Linked DNA regions of Mus musculus. The protein of the gene in region 2 interacts with the protein of the main gene of each other region in a pairwise test. Links are inferred from orthologs where the notes say so. Each region holds a gene or a part of one and is shown on either strand. Other genes may lie near its edges. The genes, in order: Crx and Lonrf1.

The links.
Region 1: the proteins of Lonrf1 (region 2) and Crx interact in binary tests that used the Homo sapiens proteins (3 or more experiments, as listed by UniProt). The two-hybrid records come from large-scale screens. The link is inferred for Mus musculus from reciprocal best matches to the Homo sapiens genes LONRF1 and CRX.

What each region holds. Positions count from the first base shown.
Region 1 is NC_000073.6:15,869,663-15,873,481, reverse strand, and holds part of Crx (cone-rod homeobox protein), read left to right. Parts: intron 1-1,096; exon of another isoform or gene 1,097-1,169; coding exon of another isoform or gene 1,170-1,208; intron 1,209-2,205; coding exon of another isoform or gene 2,206-2,238; coding exon 2,239-2,338; intron 2,339-3,819. UniProt on the Homo sapiens protein: Transcription factor that binds and transactivates the sequence 5'-TAATC[CA]-3' which is found upstream of several photoreceptor-specific genes, including the opsin genes.
Region 2 is NC_000074.6:36,218,225-36,222,043, reverse strand, and holds part of Lonrf1 (LON peptidase N-terminal domain and RING finger protein 1), read left to right. Parts: intron 1-2,065; coding exon 2,066-2,218; intron 2,219-3,819.

The DNA.
Region 1 (3,819 bases), on a different chromosome or scaffold from region 2:
TGTGACTTGCTGGCTAGCTATCCTAGCTTACACAGTGATTTCCAGACTAGTGCGAGACCTGAGGAGGTAGACTGCTTGCCTAGCATTTGTGAAGACCTGGGTTTGATATCCAGCACTCCATAAACCAAGTATGGTGGTACTGACTTGTGATCTTAGCACTTGCGAGCTGGAGACAAGAGGTTATTCTCAGCTATTTGGCAAGTCTGAGGCCAACCTGAGCTATATAAGACCTCTCAAAAATAAAATGAAAAAAAAAATGAGGTGAGTAGCTTGATCAATAAATTTGGGGTTGAATTTTAGCCTCCCCTCCACTTGCACACACACACACACACACACACACACACACACACACACACCATACATGCACACATACAATTCCCTTCATATACACAAACACACACACACCCTCATACAAAAACATCCCTCTACACTCCCCTACAGACACACACTGCACTCACAAACACGTACATACAAGCACACACACACATACACACACAGCCTGGGAATGATGGTTAATACAAGTGATCTCAGCACTTGTGAGGTAGAGGCAGGAGGGTCAGAAATATGAAATCAACTTTGGCTACAGCCTTACCTTGGCGAATTTAATGTCAGCCAGGGTTACATGAAATACTGCTGCACAAAGTCAAAAAAGTTTTTATTTATTTATTTATTTACTTATTTTTTATTTGGATGTTGTGGCTTGGTCTACAATTGAGTTCCATGCCAGCAGCCAGGGCTATAGAGGAATTTTAATCTAGCAATATGGCTACTCTGGCAAGGGATCGTACCCAAAGAGATAGGTCTGTGTGATCTGGCTGGAACACAGACACACCCTTAGTACACTCTTTTAATCCCTTTGGCTGGAATATAGACAAGCCCTTAGCACGTACCTTTAATTCCAAATAATGATGTGTGAATTAAGTGGCTGATAAAGTGATGAATCAGAGAAAGATTTGACAGAATGAGTCAGATATAGGATATGTACAACTCTCTTAAGAACTGACAAGAAGCCGGGTGTGGTGGCGCATGCCTTTAATCCCGGCACTCGGGAGGCAGAGGCAGGCAGATTTCTGAGTTTGAGGCCAGCCTGGTCTACAAATTGAGTTCCAGGACAGCCAGGGCTACACAGAGAAACCCTGTAAAAGAACTGACAAGAGGGGGCTGGAGAGATGGCTCAGTGGTTAAGAACACTGACTGCTCTTTCAAAGGTCCTGAGTTCAAATCCCAGCAACCATATGGTGGCTCACAACTTTCTGTAGTGAGATCTGACTTCTTCTTTTGGAGTGTCTGAAGACAGCTACAGTGTACTTACATATAATAAATAAATAAATTAAAAAAAACAAGACAAGAAAGAGGCTACTTAAGAGCGGTGTGTTTGAGGCAATTCAGCTGAATGCAGCAGAGTTCAGTTGAGTTTGTGCAGTTTTGTCAGTGAAGTCAGTGCAGCTCAGTTCGTGGAGTTCAGAGGCAGTTTTTCCAAGAAGAACAATTCGGTCAGAAGCAAGAGAGAAGCCAGTCTGAACCAATCAGCTTGTAGAAGCATTTGAGCCAGACAGTTGAGTTGAACCATCCAGCCAGAGTTCAGGGAGTTCAGAGAGAGCTAGAAAGGATGAACTTATTCAGTACTATATCTCAGAGGCTGAAATAGGCCTAAGTTGAGCAGGTGGAGTCTGGAAGTCAAAGCCTTCCAAGTCTGGGCTTGCAGAAGATTGGATTGTATGGAGGCTTGGAGCTTCCAGGCCTAGGCCTAGGGATAATTAGATAGAAACACTCTGGGCTCAGCCCAGGTTGTGTATTCACACACCCTGGGTACAGCTGTCATCTCATCACTTCATTCGAGGAAATTAAAGTGACAATTACACAGGGCTATATACTGAGGCCCTGAAACTTATTATGTAGACCAGGATGGCCTCAAAGTCACAGAGTTCTGTCTCCTCAGTTAGAAAATGAATGTACCACAACACTTGGCCTCTAAAAATGTGTGTGTGTGTGTGTGTGTGTGTGTGTGTGTGTGTGTATGAGAGAGAGAGAGAGAGAGAGAGAGAGAGAGAGAGAGAGAGAGAGAGAGAGAGAGAGAGATTTTGATGGGCAAGATTGGTTGGATCCCAAAGAAAACCTGAAGCAGGATGTGAGTCTGTGAGTCTCAGTTTGTAAATGCCCAGGCACTGGGCAGAGTAGTCTGTTGGACACCCTGTTCTCTTGTAGGTGCCCTCATCTGGGCCACAGTCTCTGAAGATCATGATGGCATATATGAACCCGGGGCCTCACTATTCAGTCAATGCCTTGGCTCTGAGTGGCCCCAATGTGGACCTGATGCACCAGGCTGTCCCATACTCAAGTAAGTATGTTCTCCTTTCCACCTCCAGTCTGTTTTTTAAGACCTTCTGAGGTTCATTGCCTTCAGGAGAAAAAGCATTCATGGGGTGGAGGGGGGCAGTAGGACCTTGTACCTGCTCTATGTCCATATGCAAAGGAGTTTGGCATTCCAGGGACTTTTACATGTTCCCCAGGAATTCAGAGGAGTATATAGTCATGACATTGACTACCTCTGGAGGGAGGGGAGGGGAAGGGAACTGGTTTGGAAGCAGAATCAATAGGATTTCCATCTGTCTGTAAAGTTTTTTTCTTTTCTTTTTCTCTTTTGGAGTAGAGGTTTTTGGGCTGGAATCCAGGGCCTTGTGGCTTCTAGGTAGGCACATTAGCATGGAACTATGCCCCATCATAACTGCAGGATTCTAGGCAGGGGCTCTACCACTGAGCCATGCCCCCAGCCCCTCACTCTATAACTGAACATGTCCCAGACTCTTGACTCTAGACTCTAGAGTGCTGAGATTGAAGTCCTTCACCATCATGTTCTACTATGATACACTATTACTTGACATATCTCTCATCTCTTGTCTTTCTCTCCCTCCTTTTCTTTCTCTCTCTCTCTCTCTCTCTCTTTCTCTCTCTTTCTTTCATTTTCTTTTCCCTCCCTTCCTTCCTTCCTTCCTTCCTTCCTTCCTTCCTTCCTTCCTTCTTTCCTTCCAACAGGCTCTCACTATGTAGCCCTGGCCTGGAACTCACCATATAGATCAGGTTTCTTTACAAATTCTCAGAGTTCTGCTGGTCTCTGCCTCCTGAGTGCTGGAATTAAAGGCAGGAGCCACCTGATCTAGCCTTTCTTTTTCCTTGAAGGACAAATAAAACACTATTTATTTTTGCATGAAGGGTAGGGAGCAGGGGGCATGCTTGCCATGGCTCCCTTGCAGAGGAGTTGTTTTTTCCCTTCTACCACTGGGTCCCAGGTATTGAACTCAGGTCCTCAGGCTTATACACAAGTGCCTATACATGCTGCACTATCTTGTTAGTCCCCCCCCCCTTCTCTTACATTAAGTTGAACCACAGAGGCTTACCACTTTTATAAGCAGAAGTCATGGTTATTGACAACGTCATGTTTCAACAAAATATATCTTTGAGCATAAAGTTTCAAGAGAGGCATCTGGTACAGTGACCCTTGCCTGTAGTTCCAGAGATTTGGGAGGCTGAGGTAGGAGGATCTCTTGAGACCATGATTTCAGGGCTAGCCTGGGCTATGTAGTGAAACCCTGTTGTAATGAAAGAGAGGGGGAGGGATAAAAGGAAGGGGAAGAGAAAAGGGAGGATAGGAGAGAGAGAAGTAGGAAGAAAGGAGGAAGGGGAGAGAGAGGAGGAGAAGGAAGAGAAGAAAGGGAAGGAGGGGGTAGGAATGAAACAAGAACAAAATGGAAGGGCAAATTCTTGTAGGGCTAAAACCAGTTTCTGTCAGTGAATGAATGACTGGAACACAATTCCTCAATT
Region 2 (3,819 bases):
TATATATGATTTGTGTACTTATTTAATCCTTGAGCATTTTGTTCCACCTTCTAAAAAGCACTAAAACATCCACACTTTGGCCTTCCTTCTTCTTGGGCTTCATATGATCTGTGAATTAAATATATATACATATATACACACACACACACACACACACATATATATGCATGCTGCTTATGGCTTAGACAGGGTTAATGTGGCCTCTCGATGGTTTTGGGACCTAATTTACCAACTGGAATTAAAGTACCAGAAAGTGGCTGCTGTTTTAAGTATCAAATTGATAGCAATTTCTACAGGAAAGACAGGATAAAATATAGGTCTTACATTAGCACTGTTCACCAGTCTATTCCAGCCCTTTATTTCAGTCAACATTTCCTGATTGCTGGGCATCTTCACAAAGAGTTCATAAGACTTTTCACAAAACTAAGAGAGTTAGCAGATAGAGTGATTGGGAGTCTGTGATGTATTACAGAAACGATGGAAGGCTGACTGCCTCTACGTCCTGTGAACTCTCCCTACACCACGCTGCCTCTCTGCTGATAAGTGATTAGCTTGATGTTGCTTGTTCTCTCTTATAAAGAAAGATGCCATGTGGTGGGAGGCAGAGGAGGCAGGTCTCTTGAGTTTGAGGCCAACCTGATCTACATAGCTCCAGGATGGTTGGGACTACATAGAAAAACCTTGAGGCAAACAAGCAAACAAAAAGATGTCATACGGGAATACTTTGCTGTATCAATCAGGGCAGAATATTTTATGAGTGAGTTGAAAATTTTAGTTGATTGATAGTCTTTGTCTTATGTGTGGTTGGCTAATGAAATTGTTTGCTAAAGATGGTGTGCTTTGTAAAACCCAAAAACCAGTTTTAATTTTGGTAAATGTGTATAATGTTAGATCACATTTGACGGCAAAGTGCTTTGGGCGGGCAGCTGAGCACACATGGCTAAGGCGCACACCCAGTAGAGTAGCACATTGAAAGTGTGTGTAGAAACCGACATGGTGCTGGGAGACTGGAGTCACGCCTTAGATCCTTCCTGTTCCCATTTCGTATGTTTCAGCATTTTGCTTTTGCTGTTGTCTGTGCTGGTCTGGTCTGGAAGACCTCAATTTTATTATTTACCTTTTCTTCTTGTGGTAGTAATTCTGGGATGTCTAAGGAAATGTTAAGGTCAATCTTTAAAAAGCCTGCTTTTGAAATGCTGCTTGTTTCCTGGCTGGTTTTGTTTATCTCGCAGAGGTGTAGCTCTTCGCCATTTTAACTATTTTTAAGCACCACTTATGGATATATCTATCACATTATGCAAATTACAACTAACTTAATGCATAGTTTTAATGGTCATTTTATTTTTTTCAGAAGTAAGAATGTGTGGCCTTTTGTGTTTTGTGTCTTTTATATTTCAAAAATCTTCCCATAGCCAGTAGGCCAGGAACATGGTCCACCCTTTAGGATGGATGGGTCCCTTGGCCATCCACCTGCGTTCTGCTGGTCTTCTTCGGCTGGACGATGTCTTTCATTTTACATTTGCCATCCGGTGGTCTAGAGGGCACAGGGAGGAGTTTGTGGAGGGAGCCACGGTGTTGGACCCTTATGGCAGAAGTTGAAATTGTATATTTTATGCTCTACCTTTTGACATGCCAATTTTTTTAGCAAGTATTTTTGTTGCATTTGTGTTTTGTATTTTGACCCAGTTCTCCCATTAATCATGTATTCATGGCCATCCTCCTGTTGCTGCTCTCTGCCGTGTGTAACCCGAGTGCCCCATTTCTCTTTTTACTGTAGCAACTATTTTATTCCAAATTTGTGTAGACCTTTGAACCAGAGCCCACTGTCCACCATACTTGCTCCTTCCCAGGCTGTCAGTCAGGTTGCTGCTTGCTCCCAGTGGAGACCAGGCACTGCTCTTCCCAGAGAGTCCTGTCAGCACTCTGTAAGGCAGAAACATAACCTGCTATTGCCTGAGAATAACACTCTGATAGCCTAGCACCGACAAGGACCTTTCCCAGTGTCCCGTGGGGCTGAGCCTAAGCGCTCGGACACCTCTGAGATCTTACTGCCTGCTCTTCCTAGATTGAGAATGGAGATGAAATAAGGAGCCTGCGAGAGCTCCATGACTCGGTGTACTCGCAAGCCTGCAGCTGGTTTCAGAATTTAAGGGACAGATTTCGAAGCCAAATCCTTCAGCACTTTGGATCAATGCCTGAGAGAGAAGAAAACCTCCAGGTAGGATGGCTCTGCTGCCGCTGCCACTGCCTGTCTCCCTTTCTCAGGAACCTGATGAACAGCTTTCCACCTCCCCCTTCTTTTATTGCCGTCGACCCCATCTTGAGCATTATGGCTGTATTCTCTAGAGCACTGGTATCTGCTACATGTAGCCCAGGCAAGGATGCCTGCAGGAAAGAGGGTGCCACAGAGGGAGGGGGTCTTGTCTCAGGATGTCTCGAGGGTTGTAAGATGTAAAATGGATGCTAGCCTGCATTAAACTGTGACTCTGAAGCCACCGTACCTCCCAGCCCATCACCCGTGCCTTTGACAGTTGAGAGATGTGTGGTTTTTTCCATCCTTTAGGAAGTCTGCTCCTCTCTTTTTATCTCCTAACTACTGTTCACCGTTTCAATCCACTTTTGTCTAGCTGCATGTAACACTTCCATTATCATAAAACCATCATTCTTGGGGTCCTGCTCAAGTACTGGGGTTTACATCAAAACTGAACCTAATCATTAATGTGATTTAGATTCTTTCTGTGCACCAAGCTCCGCAGTAGCAATTGCAAAACCCATTAGGGGGTCCCTTACCCTGGGGACTCCAACCACAGGCTCCTGAGACAACCAATATTAAGCAGTACATTTTGAATTGAATAAAGTCTTTATGGTTGACTTCATAGTGGGATGGCTGTACATCTATGAAGGTGGAGGGATAATAGATCCAAGTGTGATCCATCTCTCACTCCATCCTTCAGAGGTTGGTTTGAGTCTCTTATGTCAGCATCAGGACCATTTCCAAACTGAGGACACGCAGATGCTACGTCTGTGTTGCCCATTGTGGCATGTTCATCCTGCACACCTGAACCTGGTTAAACATTATAGAAGTATGCTCTCATAAGACGAAGCAGGATAACACATTTAAAGCCTCCAGAATGTAGCTTCCGTCAAAGTCTGGGCAGAACTCCCCCATGGTCCTCTCTTCTCTCCTCTCTCAGTAGCTGCCACTGGTTTCTGTTAATGCCACATTAGGAGTCAGGGAAACAAAGCAGCCTCTGGAGAGATCCAGGAGTGAGAGGGTTTGTAAAGAGGGACGGGTATGGGCGTTGGAGGCTGGAGGAACAAAGGTCAGCGCCAACGGCACCAGAGGCCACAGGATCCCTCCGCAGTGCATCAGGAGCAGCAGAGCACCATGGCTCGCTGGAACTTGTGGAGAAAGTGCTGCAGTTCTTGGGGCCCCAGGGAACACCCGTCTGTCTGTCCATCAGTCAGAGGCAGTGGAATGGGTAGTTCTCTAGAATCCTCTGGAAAGCCACACCCCACGCTTTGCAAAAGTTTCTAGAAAATAATGACCTCATTATCCGTTTCTGCATCTGGTAAGAATGCCATTGGCCCGATTGTGTCTAACCTGGAGACACGTGGAGGGTGGGATCCTGGGAAGTTTTCTCTGGAATGCAGAAGGAAGTGGGAGTGGTGCAGAGATCAGAGCGGTGGAGAGTGGGGCAGTGGCACAGGTTGCTTAGATACTGCCGTGGTTCCTTCATCACTCTGAATGTTGCTATTTTGTGGCTCGTGAGCACCAGTGCAGTGACAGTAAGAAAGGCTATGGAGTCCTGTTGTGCA